2 linked regions of the Stegostoma tigrinum genome follow. The main gene of each other region encodes a partner of the protein of the gene in region 2 in a complex. Links are inferred from orthologs where the notes say so. Each region holds a gene or a part of one and is shown on either strand. Other genes may lie near its edges.

Region 1 (7,539 bases), on a different chromosome or scaffold from region 2:
GCTTGTGTCTTTGCAGCCAGGTCAGTGTCTTGCTATTGCATCAAGTCTGTGAGGGTCTCTGAAAACGAACTTGACAGTATGAGTCCTGCCTTGATTTGCCTTATCAAAATGCAACACCTCACACTTATCCAAATTAAATTCTATTTGCTCTTTCTCAGCCCATCTGTTCAAGGTCTTGTTGTACCCTAAGATAATCTTCTTCACTGTTCACTACAACACCAATTTTGGTTTCACCAGCAAGCTTACAAATCAACCATTCCTTGTACATTCATATCCAAATAATTTATACCATGAACAAAAAGCAGAGGACCCAACACCAATATTTGTGGTACACCACTGTTCACAGACCTCCAAAAATTGATAAAACAACCCTCCACCACCATCCTCCGTCTCCTACCTTCAAGACAATTTTGTATCCAAATGGCTAGCTCTCCTTAGATTTCATGTGTACTAACCTTGCTAACTCGTCTACCATGCAGAACCCTGCTGAACACCTTAGTGAAATCCATTTAGACAACATCCACTGGTCTGGTTTCAATCTTCTTTGAACTTATTGAAGAAGCAACAACCAAGTTAACGGGATATAATTTCCCATGCACAAAGCCATGTTGACTATCCCTAATTGGACCTTGCATTTCCAAATACATGCGGATCCTGTCTCTCCAAATCCCCTCCGACAACTTACCTACCGCTAACATCAGGTTCAGTCTATAGTTCCCTGGCTTTTCTTGATACTCTTCTTAAATGATGGCACATTGGCCACCTTCCAGTCTTCCGGCATCTCACCCATAGCCATCGATGATGCAAATATCTCAGCAATGGTCGCAGAAAACACTTCCCTCATTTCCCATTGAGGGGAATACACCTGATCAGGTACTGGAGATTTATCCACTTTTGTGCTTTTTAAGACATCCAGAATCACCCCCTCTGTAATGTGGGCGCTTTTCAAGATATCACTACTCATTTCTCCAAGTTTTCTAGCTCCCGTATCTTTTTACACAGTGAATACTGACTTGAAATACCCTAGTATCTCACCCATCTCTTGTGGGTCCAAACGTAGATAGTCCTGTTAATCTTTAAGGGGCTCTATTCTCTCCCTAATTAACTTTTTTGCACTTAGTGCATCTGTAGAATGTCTTTGGGTTTTCCTTAAACCTATATGTTAAAGCTGTCTTGTATCCCCTTTTTTGCTCTCGAATATACTCCAGCTGTCCTTATATCCTCAGCTGATTCACTTGATCTCAGCTGTCTATACCTGCCTTGTGCCTCCTTCTGTACTGTAGATACATTACAGGGAAGGTAAATTAGTGTTCAAGGAAGTGCAACACAGACTCAACAAAAAGATACTTGGGCTTAGAAGAGCTGAATTATGAATACTCTGTGTGAATTTGATTTGTACTCTCTCAAACTTAGTAAGTTGCAGGAGATGCAAGGTAATCAAAATGATTTTGCACAGTGCAGGCAGAAAAACACTCCTGCAGTTCAAAATAAAATTACAGTGAGATCACTCAGGAAGGATGTTATTCCCCACAGAAAAAGTAATAAATTCATTTGAAACATTGAATAGGTTAATTGAAATATTAACACAGATAATGATACTTATTATTAGGTAAAAGTACCAAATAATACACATCATCAGCAAGTAATTACTGAGGTGTAGACCAGTCATTACCAGCTAGAATGATAGAACAGATTCAAGAGATTGAACGGCCTACTTACATTCCTAGCAGTAGCAAACTTAGGTCTGCAAGCTACAGAAAAAAATAGATATTGCAGATAACCAATTCAAAAGGTTTATAAAGAGTACAGTATCATGGTGGCTCACAGCACCAGGGACTCGGGTTCAAATCCAACCTCAGGAGACTATGTGGAGTTTGCACATGCTCCCTGTGTCTGCAGGGGTTTCTTCTGGGTGCTCTGGTCTCCTCCTACAGTCCAGACGTGCAGGTTAGGTGGAATGTCCATGCTAAACTGCCCAGTGTCCAGGGATGTGTAGATTAGGTGGGTTAGCCATGAGAGTTGGAGGATTACAGGCATAGAGTAGGGTCAGGATGGGATGGTCTTCAGAAAAGGTTGGTGTGAACCCAATGACCCAAATGGCCTTCTTGCACACTGTAGTGATTCTATGGAACATTTTCAACTGTAACTCGATGACAGCCAATGAGGAGTGACTGGGAAAGAAGACACAAATCTATAAAGCAAAATTACTACAAGCAGAACATGTATCAGAATTAATCTGAAGAAAGAAAGAAAGAAAACAAATATAAAAAGGACAGAATCAAATTACTGATCTCCTACGTTATAGGAGCAAAATGAGGATTAGTATTGAAAACATGAATCGGACTGTTGCTCTACAAATACTGTCCCAGAGTGCCTCCAACATTTGCCACTTTTGATTCTAACAACATCGAAGACAGGCAGGCACTATACGGTAATTTTATAAAATGACTCAGTAGAAACTCAAACAGACCGGGTCAGAGAGGGAACGGGTTTGCTGATCAAAATTATCCTCCCTTGATCTGTTTTTTTTTACACATGCAAAGAAGGTTATCCGCTGAGTGCTGGCATTCATAGTGTTTACAGGAAACAAGGCAGAAACAAATTGTAAGCCGAATGTCAACAGTGAGTTTCGATGTGATACCGATCCTCCTCCTAAGGAGTGAGCAGAGGTTTAAAGGACTGATGCGCACTTAGAATGTTACCTGCAGCACAACTTCCACGTCATACGAGTTGCCTTTACTCTTCTGGTGGCCCCTGAACTTGGAGCCGCTGTACAGGAGCGTGGTGGCGACCCCAGGCTGCTGAGTGTTGATGGGGGGCGGCGGGATCAGCGAGGCCGACTCAGTGCGGACGGGCATCGCGCGATGTCAGCCCGGCCCAGCGCCCGAAAGCGGGAAGGAGGGGGAAGGGGGTAAAGGGAGGGAGGGGGAAGTCTGCTTAAATAAATATCGCAGGCAAACTCGGCCACTACAACCGCCACTTCTCCTCGTCAAACCCTGACAACGCGAGATGGCCGCAAACCTCCCACAGACGGCGCCTGCGGAGCCAGCATCGCTTTTTCTCATTGGCTCCTTTCTGCCGTCACCGCCGACCTTGTACAACGGCACTTTCCCATTGGTAGAGAGGGGAGGCATGCCGTCACCTTCGGATGACGGTAGACGTTCAGCTGTTGCGCATGTGCAGCCCCCCGAGGCATTCTGGGAGATATAGTCGCTTAGTTGTCAGTCTCGCTCCCATTGACTATCTGCTCCTATTGAATAATGTCACAACTGGCAGTACGTCGCTGCTCAAGCAGCATCTTAGGAGCAGCAAAGCTGAAACGTGAGCTTTCCTCCTCCTCTCATGCTACTTGGCCTGCTCTGTTCATCCAGCTCTACACCTTGTTATCTCGTGTCTCACTGCCCTGCTGTAGGAAATGCCTGCAGAGATTCGTTGGCTTTGTAAGTCTTGACTTTGACCATGAGAATCGTCCTCCGGGGGACGATTCTCACTAAACACCTTCTTAGCATTTATATATTACATATTGAGTTTTGAAGGTTCAATGGTCCTGAAATGTTAACTTTGCTTTCTCTCCAGAGATGCTGCCACATCTGCTGAGTTTTTACAGCAATTTCTGAATTTGTTTCTGATTTCCAGGATCTACACTTTTTTGTTACACCTACGTTGCTTTCATATAAACTTTTCTTTTTATCTCTGGTCTGTGTAAAACAAGATGTCAAGTTTACATAGCTGGAGCATTGTAGAAAACAAACGTTGATCGTGGAGAAGGAGACATCCAGCATACTCAAGGGGGCAGAATTAGAGGAGTGTAAAATTTCAGAGGATTGTGGCGATAGAGGGAATTATAGAAACACTGCAGGACCAAGGTGGAGTTTGAAAAAAAGTTGAGGGTTTTAAATTGATGAGTCTTTTAATGGAGACCTAAATGGGGATGCAATGAGAAGTGTTATGAGTTTTACCAGGCATATATCTAAATATGAGTGCTAACTTGGTACAACTACAGTATAACATGACATGCATACAACAGGGCAAGCCATATATCTCACAATCAACAGATCAGTTTAACACTGTTCAGTCCTGTCACAGCCATTCATGAATGGTGGTGAAGTGGAATTTGCAGGGGGAAGATCTAGTTGTCATGCTCCATGACATCGACACAAAACTAAGAAGAAATTCAAAGGTCATGATCTGAGGATTGTTACCTGAGCCATGGGCTCAAATCAAATTAGAGAGATGAATTTGTGCTCAAAGTCTGGTGCTAGAGAAGTAAGTACTCGTTCATGGACCTTTGACACCTGTATTGGGTAAAGTGGGATCTATACCATTGGGCCAAGCTCTGTCTGGACTCCACCCGGCTGCTGTTCTTATGAGCTGTATAAAGTAGGGGAGTAGAGGGAATTTAAAAACTAATTACTGGGGCCAATGAATCATTTTTGGGAAGGCATGCTAAATCAAAGAAAATATACAAGGAAAAAAGGAAAGGTATTAGTTTGGGAAATCATAAACAGACTGCGACAGGAAGGGAGAGACATTAAAAATCTAAGAATAAATCAACAAATAAGATTAGAGAAAACTAAAGTAGTAGAAAGATAAAACCAAACGACATAGTATCAGAAGTAGGCTGTTTGGCCTCTTGAGCCTGCTCCATAGGGTCAATTGATTGTCACATGTACTGAAATAATCAGAGTGCAAAGCTTTGCAGAGGAGAAAACAGTTAACGTTTCAGGTACGGTGACCCTTCCTTAGAACACCAGACCCAAAACGTTAACTCTGTTTACTCCTCCACAGATGCTGCCAGACCTGCTGAGCTTTTCCAGCAATTTTGTTTTTTGTTCCTGATTTACAGCATCTGCCGTTCTTGTGGTTTTTATTGAAAAGCTTTGTTTACGTGTGACACAGGCAGATCACAGCAAGCAAAGGATGCACAGATCAAAAAGACATAGAAATACAGGTTACATTATTTGAGGCTAGAGTCAATTCAAACAGTCTCAGATAATGGGAACAGCAGATGCTGGAGAATCCAAGATAACAAAGCATGAAGCTGGATGAACGCAGCCGGCCAAGCAGCATCTTAGGAACACACCTAGGTACACCTAAGATGCTGCTTGGCCTGCTGTGTTCATCCAGCTCCACACTTTGTTATCAACAGTCTTGTAACTGCTGGAAAGAGGCTGTTCCTGAACCTGCATGTGTGGGGTCAGGCTTCTGTACCTTCTGCCTGACGGAAAAGATCGTAGGGAGGTCTTTGATGATTTTGGCCACCTTTCTGCAGTCGAGCCGTGTAAATAGAGTCCATGGGTGGAAGGTTGGCTTCCATGATGGTCTGGGCTGTGCATACCACCGCCTGTAGTTTCTTACAGTCCTGGGGACAACAGTTGCCTTATCAGGCCGTTGTGCACTTGAACAGTTTGCTTTCAATGGTGCATCTGTAGAAATTGGTGAAGGACATTATGGACAAGCCAAATTTCCTGATCTGCCTGAGGGAGAAGAGGCATTGTTGTGCCTTCTTGACTGTTGCATTTACATGGGAAAATTAGAACACGTTGCTGGTTATTATCACTGAGAAACTGGATTCTGGTCACCCTCTCAACATCAATTCTGTTGATGTAGATGGGGGCATATTCTTCTCCTTTCTTTCTGAACTTGATGATCAGTTCTTTAGTTTTACCAACGTTGATAGACAGATTGTTTTCATGGCAACATATCACCAATGCCTCTGTCTCCCCTCTATTTTGAAATGTTGTTGTTAGGTATCTGTGCCAGTGTGGTGGTGTCATCAGCGAACTTGTAGATGATGTTTGTTTGGAATTTAGCGACATATTCATAGATGTACAGGGAGTACAGTGGGGGACTGAAGACACATCCTAGGGGGCCTCCTGTTTGAATATTATTGTGGAGGGTGTGCAATTACCTATCCTCACTAATTGCTGCCTATGGGTCAGAAAGCTGAGGATCCAGTTGCAGAGGGCAGAACCGAAACCAGGTCACAGAGTTTTGAGATCACTCTGGAAGGGATAATGGTGATGAAGGCAGAGCTGTAGTCAATGAACAGGAGCCTGATGAAGGTGCCTTTGTTGTCCAGATGTTCCAGGGCTATGATATGGCATCCTCTGTGGACCTGTTATGTCGGCAGGCAAACTGTGGGTCATGACCAGCCTCTCGAAGAACTTTGTGATAATTGAAGCCAGGGCTATTGAGCGGTAGTCATTAAGACACACTGCATTTGTTTTCTTGGGTGCAGGGATGACGACGGTGTTCTTGAAACAGGTGGGGACGGTGGCCTGCGGGCGGGAGAGGTTGAAGACATCTGTGAATACCTCCACCAGTTGGTCTGCACAGGATCTGACTGCTCGGTTGGGAAACCGTCCGGTCCCACTGCTCTCCGAGTTGACTCCCAGGAAGAGCAATCTGACTTTTAGATTGGTGACAGAGGGAACAGGTGTTTCTGGGGCTGTGTGGACAGGTGTCAAACTGAGCATAGGAAGCATTGAGCGTGTTAGGGAGGGATGTGTCATTGTCCGCTATCTTACACTGTTTCATTTTATATCCCGTAATGTCATTTAGGCCTTGTCATAGACAGCGGGAGTCTGTTTGGTAGGTCTGGGTCTCCACCTGCCTCTTGCCCTCCCTGATGGCTTTGCGGGGGTCTAATCTGGATTTCTTGTATTGGTTTGGGTCACCCGACTTGAATGCTGCATGTCTGGTCTTCAGTAGGGAGTGGATTTCCTGGTTCATCCAAGGTTTACGGTTGGGGAACACAGACTGATTTCTTTGGTTCACACCCAATAAACTAATGAAGTCCCTGACAGTGGTGGCATACTCATCTAGGTTTTCCACTGAACATGGTCCAGTCCACCGAGTCCAAGTAGTCCTGGAGAAGGTCTGCCGCTGCCTTGGACCAGCACTGTACTTCATTTTGTAAAGGATTGTCATGTTTCAGCTCCTGATTGTAAGCTAGGACGACAGTGCTGTGATCGGATTTTCCAAAGTGTGGGCAGGATATTGAGTAATAGGTGTCTTTAGGTTGTGTAGCATTGGTCCAGAATATGGGGCAGGAGATGTGTTGGTGGTATTTTGGCACCACCTGCTTGAGGTTGGCTTGGTTGAAGTCACTGACCACAATGAATAGGGACTCGGGGAAACTTGTCTCTAGGGTGTTTGTGGCATTATAAATCTCGTCTAGGGCATTCTTTGCAGGTGCATGTGGTGGTATGTAGTCTGCTGTCAGGATGGCAGAGGTGAGCTCACATGGTAGGTAGTAGGGACAGCATTTTAGGTGGGATAGAGAGGCATTTTACTATAAGGTATTCTAGTTCTGGAGAGCTGTAGCTTGTCAGGGTCTCAGCATCAGGAGATATTGCTCAGGAAGCATACCCCACCACCCTTCGCCTTACCCAAGGATGCCACACAGTCGATGTGGTGTATGGAGAACACTTGTTGGGCACTTGCTTGTAGGGCACATTCGGCAATGGCAGGGGTGAGTCAAGTCTCCATGAAGCAGAGCACACAACCGTCTCTTAGTTCCATCTAGTAGGTAAG
Region 2 (7,517 bases):
TGGGAGATCTAGGTCCACATTGTTGCCTCAACAAATCACACCTGTTATTTTATTATCTGGCACTTTTAAGGGTTAAATGACAAATCGCTGCAAGCAGTCACTAGTTCAGGAAACATCTGTTTAAAAAAGTTGAAATTTCAAGTATAGACTCTTTATTCACAGAAAGGCCACATTTCTAAAATGTTACTAATCTAATGTTTGAAATTTCAAGTTGTATGAATTCTCAAATACTCGCTGACCTGTAAGTGAAAATGCCAGAAACAGAGTCCAACATCTGCAAATTTTTGACACTGGAGGCATATTAAGTCATATAGGGTCTAACTTTATGTTGTTTTATCCAACTGACTGCCTGCGGATAATTAATTTCATGGATACTGCATGGGCGAGGCGTCAACTTGGTTTTAGTTGAATTCTGAAGGTTGAGAATTCAAACCTCATTCAGGGACTTGAGCACAAAAGCTAGCTGTGACTTCAGTGTGCTCTCAAGGCTTTATCAGAAGTCCTGCACTTTGAATGAAAGCAAGATTTGATCATGTCCCAATAGTTCAAGCAGAAGTTAAAGATTCCTGGTATTATTTGTAGATGAGTAGATTTACCTAGAGTGCAAAACCAAAGAATGAGGGTTGAACAAAATGCAGCTAATCTTTAGATTTTCATTTCCAAAATTTAAGTTCAATCACTGCAAAACACAAACAATTGACGTAACCTAGCGAGAAGGTCTGAAGGTACCTTCAACATTAAGCAGAGACAATGCCAAGACTTACAAAAACATTATTGTAGAGTGGTCACTGAGGAGCAATAGATACAGTACTCTACTGTCTAAATAATTTACTTGAAAAACAACTGCAGTCATGCTTTGGTGTCATTCTGCAGAATGGAACATTTTGCATTAAATGACATCACTGAGTAATGATACCTCAAATGAAAAGCACAGATAATATTACCCTGACATCTGAGTACACAGGGGAGAGGAGGCTGCATGACATTTGTAAAGAAACAGTTTAGCAGGATAAATAAAGGAAACTACAGCGTTAAGGTTATTTTAACAATAATTTGAGTTTGTAAACTTAACAGATTAAGAAAGTAAGTATAAAGTTACCCAGGATTCACAGACAAAAACTGTGATATATGATCAAAGAATTCAAAGCAGTGATTGGATTTGTTAATATATTAAAGAAAATTATTGATTTGTTACCAGCTTCAGTTTTGCACTGTAACAAGTCCACTTCAAACATAATGAACAAAAATATCCAAAATTATAGTTGTAAAATTCTTGGCTCCAAGCCAGTTCATCCATTCTATATTATTTGGAGATACACCCTGACATGAAATTAATATTTAGAAGCTGTGTTCTGAAATAATCTGCTTCTAACTTTTTTCTCTTTCTTCTCAGTTTTCAACCTACCCTTGCTTTTGGATCCTTCGACAAAGAAAACAGAAATTCAATGGGGTTTGCAATGCAAGGTTCCCAAGAACTCAGCCCACTGCCCAATCTCCTCTTACTCAGGACACAAACAAACATTTTCAATGGGAATCAGTCACTCATTCTATTCAAACCGAATTAAAACTTAGGTCATTCTCTAGTCCTCATTTTTGAAAAGATGGGAAAAGGTCACATTGCAACTCGTTGCAATCCATTGCTCTTCCTTAACAGTCGATACTGATTTGTTTTTGCTGGTTGGAGGCTAAAGGGCTTCATTTTGTTTTTTTTAAAACTAAAGTTGCCAGTTGTTCACATAATGTATCGTTTATATATTGAATGTTATAGACACTTGCAAAACAGTCCCTCTACCACACATTGGATTTATTACAATCCATGTCCGTTTTAGAAGTATCTTACACACATACTCTCAATAATAGTTAACTGGTGACCCAAAATTCACAATCATTGACTAGTTAGGGTCATGTCTATCTCTATGGAGATCTTTCGTGAACTAGCTTTGTTTTCTACTTACGTGTATTTTTAAAATGTTAGATAAGTTTTAAGATCAGATCTTTCTCTACCGCGAGGGCTCTTTCACACTCAATTAAAAGCAAATATTTCAACTGTATTTAATTCTGTTGATAGTATTCAACAAATAATCTCAACAGGCCATGGCCCAGATGTCATTTATGGACATAGTGCTCAAGGCCCGTCACCACCGCGCCCGCCACACCGCTCGCCCCACCCCCAACTCCCCAACTCATTTCCTCACTGTGTACGGAAGTGTATGTTCCAAACTGTGGTGTACAAGTCTTGGCCTGTTCACAGTCGGTGCATGTAATCAGTCTTGGCACTCATCTTATTCCAGATAGTTCTATGTGACTAATGTGGCTATATGACACCCCTGTATAGGTATTTGGTGGGATTCGGTGGCCTCTCGTATCAGTGTTAACTGTTGCTATGTAAGGCCAGGGGCCTGGTAGTCGGTGCCTATAAACTGTAGCTGCCATCCACCCTCTTTGCCTTTTCTTTAGCTGGGCTCAGTACCAGTGTCAAGACGTCCCTGGGTGCCAGGGGCCATCCGCTTACCTTTATAATGGACCCGCAGGTTGTTCTGAGACAGGCCGATGTAGCTGTACTTATCCTTTGGGCTCCAGCATCTCGGCAGCGGCGACTCCTGCTCGTTGACAGCGGGGTAGAGCCGCTTGAAGCGGTCGGTGAGCTCCTTCTCTTGAAGGTTGAGTGCCGACTCTCCGTGCGCCGCCGACAGCCCAGCCATGGGTGCGGATCTGTGAAGGACGGGAGGAGGGGTTAGGCCAAACCCGGAGCCTGAGCTCTGGGTGGATGTATAATGGGCCGGAGACGGTCTGGATCAGGCTCCGAGCCCCGGATGACGAGACTTGGAAACCCGGAACGGCGACCGATGCCGTCTCCCTTCCACGGCCGCGCCTTATGAGCCCTCAGCCCGTTCGTTCACTGAGAGCCCGACCGACCGACAGCCAGCCTGCCTCCCTCCACCCGGTCCGTCCCCGTCCCCAACTCCAGCTCCAACCCAACTCAGTCGCTGCTGCATCCGAATCTGACTGAGTGACTCTCTTCTATGTCCGCCTGTCTCCGCTCACTGACAGGCCGCCGCTGCCCAACCCGCTCCTCATTGGCCACCCACGCTAAACCATCGCGGCTGGGGGGCGGGGCTAAGCTCGGGGCAGGGGAAATGCTGCAGAGAGGCTAACTTCCTATGAGGGGGGTCTCCGGAGGGAGGCGAGTAAGGAATGAATGCAATAGACAGGGTGAGGGAGTGAAGCAATGCAGAATTGGAGAGGTGGGGATAAGGGGTGAGGAGGGATTAAATGGCAAAACATTCCACAATAATGGGTAAAGAAGCAAAAGATGTGTACAGACGAGTTGTGCATGGCTGAACATCAGAGTGGAAAGTGAAGGAATAAAACAGATATACATCAGTTGGAAAAAAGAAGCACTGACCATCATCTAAACATAAGAGTTAACAAGGTGTAGAGCTGGATGAACACAGCAGCCTCGAGCAGGAAAGATAACGTTTCGCTTTCGTGCTCTTCTGATGCTGCTTTAGACTACTGTGTTCGTCCAGCTCCACACCTTGTCACCTCAGATTCTCCAGCATCGGTAGTTCCTACTTTCTCTGAATCGATCATCATCCAAATTTGTGCTCAGAAGGCTGTAAACTGCCAAGTCCAGAAATGTGGTGTTGTTTGAGCTTACATTGAATTTAATTAATATGCTATGGCTGCCCAGAGACAGGAAAGTCAAGATGGTCAGAATTTGGAAAATTGAAATGGCAAACGACACAAAGATCATTGTTATGCTTGGAGCAGAGTTGTAATAGGAATTAGGATAAGAGTGAGATCAGGTATGCAAGATAAAGGCTTGGATAGCAGCACTGCTGGAGGGGTATCTGCAGTAATTAACAGCATTTTTTCTGAGACCCAAGAGATTGGAGATTCATTGACACCACTTGAGATGGTGGTGTCTGCTTTTGCTGTGTTTCAAAAAGAAATAAAATAATGTCTATTTTGGACCTTCAAAGATCATAGTACATTACAGAGCACTTTATAACATAGTTTAAGAATACTTGAAATGTCTGTAGAGTCACAGAGGCATGCAGCATAGAAACAGGCCCTTAAGCCCACCATCTCTGAGTCATAGGGTCATTGGGTACACAGCACGGAAACAGACCCTTCAGTCCAATTTGTCCATGCCAAACAGATTTCCCAAATTAAGCATTTGTCTGTGTTTTACCCACATTTCTCTAAACCTTTCCTTTTTGTCTACCTGTCCAAATGTCTTTTAAATGTTATAACTGTACCTGCATGAACCACTTCACCAGACAGTTCATTCACATATGAACCACCCTCTGTGTGAAAAAGTTGCTCCTCATGTACCTTTTAAATCTTTTTCCTCTCACCTTAAACTTACGCCCCCTAGTTTTTAATTCCCCTCATCTAGGGAAAAGGCCTTGATTATTATTTCATCAACCTCTAAGGTCATCCCCCAACTTCCTACACTCTTAGGAAAAAAAGTCTCAGCCTATCCAGCCTCTTGTAATAACTCAAACTCTCCTGTCCTGGTAACAACCTGGTAAATCTTTTTTGCACCCTTTCCAATTTAATAATATCCTTACTATACTAGGGCCACTAGAACTGTACACAGTACTCCAAAAGTGGCCTCACCAATGTCTTGTACAGGTGCAACACGACAACTCCTGTACCAAATGCTCTGACTAATTAAGACAAGCATGCCAAATGCCTTCCTCACCATGCTGTCTACCCATGATGCCAATTTCAAAGAACTGTGTACCTGAACCCTTAGGTCTCTCTATTTGCAACAAAAACAACTTGGCCTCATTTATATTTAGTTGGTGAAAGTTCTGGCTGGTCTCACACTTGACACTGAGCAACTAGATTGCATGGCAACTAGTGTTTGAGTTGGAATTTAGTATTACTTTCTCTGCTGTGGCAAATTTTACACTTTTTAAAATTCATTTGTGGGATGTGGATGTCACTGCCTGGACAGCATTTATTGTCCATCCCTAGTTGCACTCGAGAAGGCAGTGGTAAGCAGCTTCTTGAACTAGTCCAATATACTTGCTGTGGGTTGAACTACAATGCTATTGGGGAAGGAATTTCAGGGGTTTGACCCAGAGATAATGAAGGAATAGTAAAATATTTCCATGTCAGGATGGGGAGTGGTCTGGAGGGGACCTTGAAGTTGATGGTGTTCCCACATATCTGCTACCTTGTCCTTCTAGATGGAAGTGGTCATCTGAGGATTTTTGGTGAATTCCACATATCACATATCATTCATCACTCCAAGCATTATATAAAACAGGTAATAAAATTCTAGAATATGCATCTTATTTTACTCTTAAAACAAGCACTTCAGGAGATTGAATTATCACATAACAGCACAATCAGTGGGACTTTGTTAACCTCTTTCTAGGTCTAGAGATGGTTGATAAATGGCCGCTTGAATTTGATTGTACTTTGCCAAGTGGAAAAAATGTGCAAGTGCTTTTTGAAATTTGTGATTTATGAAAAGCAAAATGGAACAGTTACTAATGACCACTACCGTCCATTGACAATGAAATTAATGACCATTGATTTTTTTTTGGTGTTGGTTGACAGAAAACTTTGTCAAGGCATCGGGAGAATTCCCTACTCTTCAGTGCCATGGTTTCTTGAAATGACTTGCAGGACACGCAAATAAAACCTTTATTTTAGATTTCAAATGGATGGCAAAGGTGAACGCATCAGAGCATTCATACTACACTGGAGCATCAGCCCACATCATGCATTCTAGACCTGGTTCAGGAACCCTCTAGATCAGAGGTGAGGCTACCAATTAGAGCTGTTTTCATCCTAGCAGTATTTTATTCTGGGTTTCCACAACCAACAGTTGGCTCTTTTCATTTAGATTGTTGAATTAAATTATTCACTCCAGTGGGAAATTGAATTCTAGTTTGAAGAGATAAAAAGAGCTGTATTTAACTCTATAAATATTGGAAGTGAGCTTGGATTTGGTTAAGAAATGTTAATGATGCAAGTAATTTAGCTGAAGCTCCAGCAGCCTATAGCATAGCTTGACCTGTAGAATTCTTTTTTGCCAGCAGTTGCAAAATAAAAGCGAATCAATTCAGTTTTAAAATTGGTTAAACAAATCCTAATCCTTGAAAAATTGGAATTTTGTTGGCAACTCTATGCTGACCAACAAACACCAAACTACATTAATTCCATTTACATTTGCTGTTAAAATGCATGAAATGGGCAATCAACTTGCACACAGTAAGCTCCCAGTAGCAATGTGATAACAACCAGTTAATCTGCTTTGTAAAACAAAAGCAAAATACAGCCTGATACCAAAAATCTGAAATAATACAAAAAAAAGACCTGGAGCTATAAAGCAGGTTAGGAAGCGTCCCATTGGAAAAACAAGGCTGGTGTTTTAGGTTGAGATGATCATTCATAAAACTGAAAAAATTTTGTTGATCAAGGGATAAGTAGGATTAATCTTCTACTCTTCCATTGAGTGCTTGTCTTCTGGCTGTTTTTACCAGTCTATTTCAAGTCAGTCACATTTCTAATGTTCATAATACTGACTTCATTCTAAATAAAACTGGCATGATTAGATGAAAGTACTGCTAACAAGGCCGTCTTTCTTAAAATGACTTACTCAATGGGTCATGTCCAATAGGTGACACAATACATATTTCAATGAATACATATTTTCATTTTTATTTCACAAATCATATCATTATCAGTAATGATTTCTTCTATGTTACAATATCACATTATATCCGGAACGCCTACTCGGAAGAATTAGGAGTTGGCATAAGGTGTGGAGGCAACATAGAATGTGAGTTGTGAGGGCCTGTGGTAGCAGTGGGAGTTAAGCAGAACAACTTGTGCACATCTTTCAGTATTCTGCTACTAAATGGTGTGTTTGTGTGCAGGTACTGCCCTTTGAAGCACACTCCTAATCAATAACAGTCAATTTAAAAATGAGCAGTTTGGTGCAGTTACATCATTGTTAGACCACTGATCATTGGCTCAATCACTGAGGTTGTTACTACAAAACTGATAGGGCTGCTACCAACATAAATGGAGATTTCTAGACTGAAACACTGATCTCAGTAGTCAAGTAGGCCAGCATTCACTGCTCCAATTATTATGTCAAAACCAACAATGACCAGAATTTTCACTGAAAACCAATAACTTCTATTGAATATCATGGGGTTTCCCAATTATTGTCATGTACTCAAATACAGAAGTATTGGAATACAGTAAAAAGTGTACAAAGTCACCCTTCTCTGGCACAATCCGACATACAAAACCTCAAATTTAAAACAAAACTAAGAGGCAAAAAACAGAATTTTTAAAAAAGCAGAAATACAAAAAAAAAACAGGAGCCAAGAAAGTAATATGAAGCATCCAGATCTAAAAGTCTTATCTCCATAAGGCAGTCTTTTTCCCCGTAAGTGGGCCTCCCTCCCCAAAGCCTCAAGTCTCAGTGCCATTGCTTCCTCAGGCTCTCAGAACTCTCTCCCACTGCCACCACTGGC

What was found. The genes of interacting proteins can lie anywhere in the genome.
Region 1: the proteins of ranbp9 (region 2) and gid4 are in contact, whole or in part, in a cryo-EM structure (PDB 7NSC), measured with the Homo sapiens proteins. The link is inferred for Stegostoma tigrinum from reciprocal best matches to the Homo sapiens genes RANBP9 and GID4. Residues at the interface, in NP_005484.2 of Homo sapiens: Ser223, Lys224, Gly225, Arg226, Asp227, Gly228, Tyr229, Met230, Gly256, Asp257, Thr274, Phe275, Thr276, Thr277; in NP_076957.3 of Homo sapiens: Leu187, Arg189, Asp194, Glu195, Asn216, Asp218.

Annotation. Positions count from the first base shown.
Region 1 is NC_081376.1:25,766,846-25,774,384, forward strand, and holds the start of gid4 (glucose-induced degradation protein 4 homolog), read right to left. Parts: upstream 3,031-7,539; 5' UTR 2,859-3,030; coding exon 2,703-2,858; intron 1-2,702.
Region 2 is NC_081355.1:38,961,011-38,968,527, reverse strand, and holds the start of ranbp9 (ran-binding protein 9), read right to left. Parts: upstream 3,072-7,517; 5' UTR 2,981-3,071; exon of another isoform or gene 2,713-2,980; 5' UTR 2,703-2,712; coding exon 2,513-2,702; intron 1-2,512. UniProt on the Homo sapiens protein: May act as scaffolding protein, and as adapter protein to couple membrane receptors to intracellular signaling pathways. Acts as a mediator of cell spreading and actin cytoskeleton rearrangement.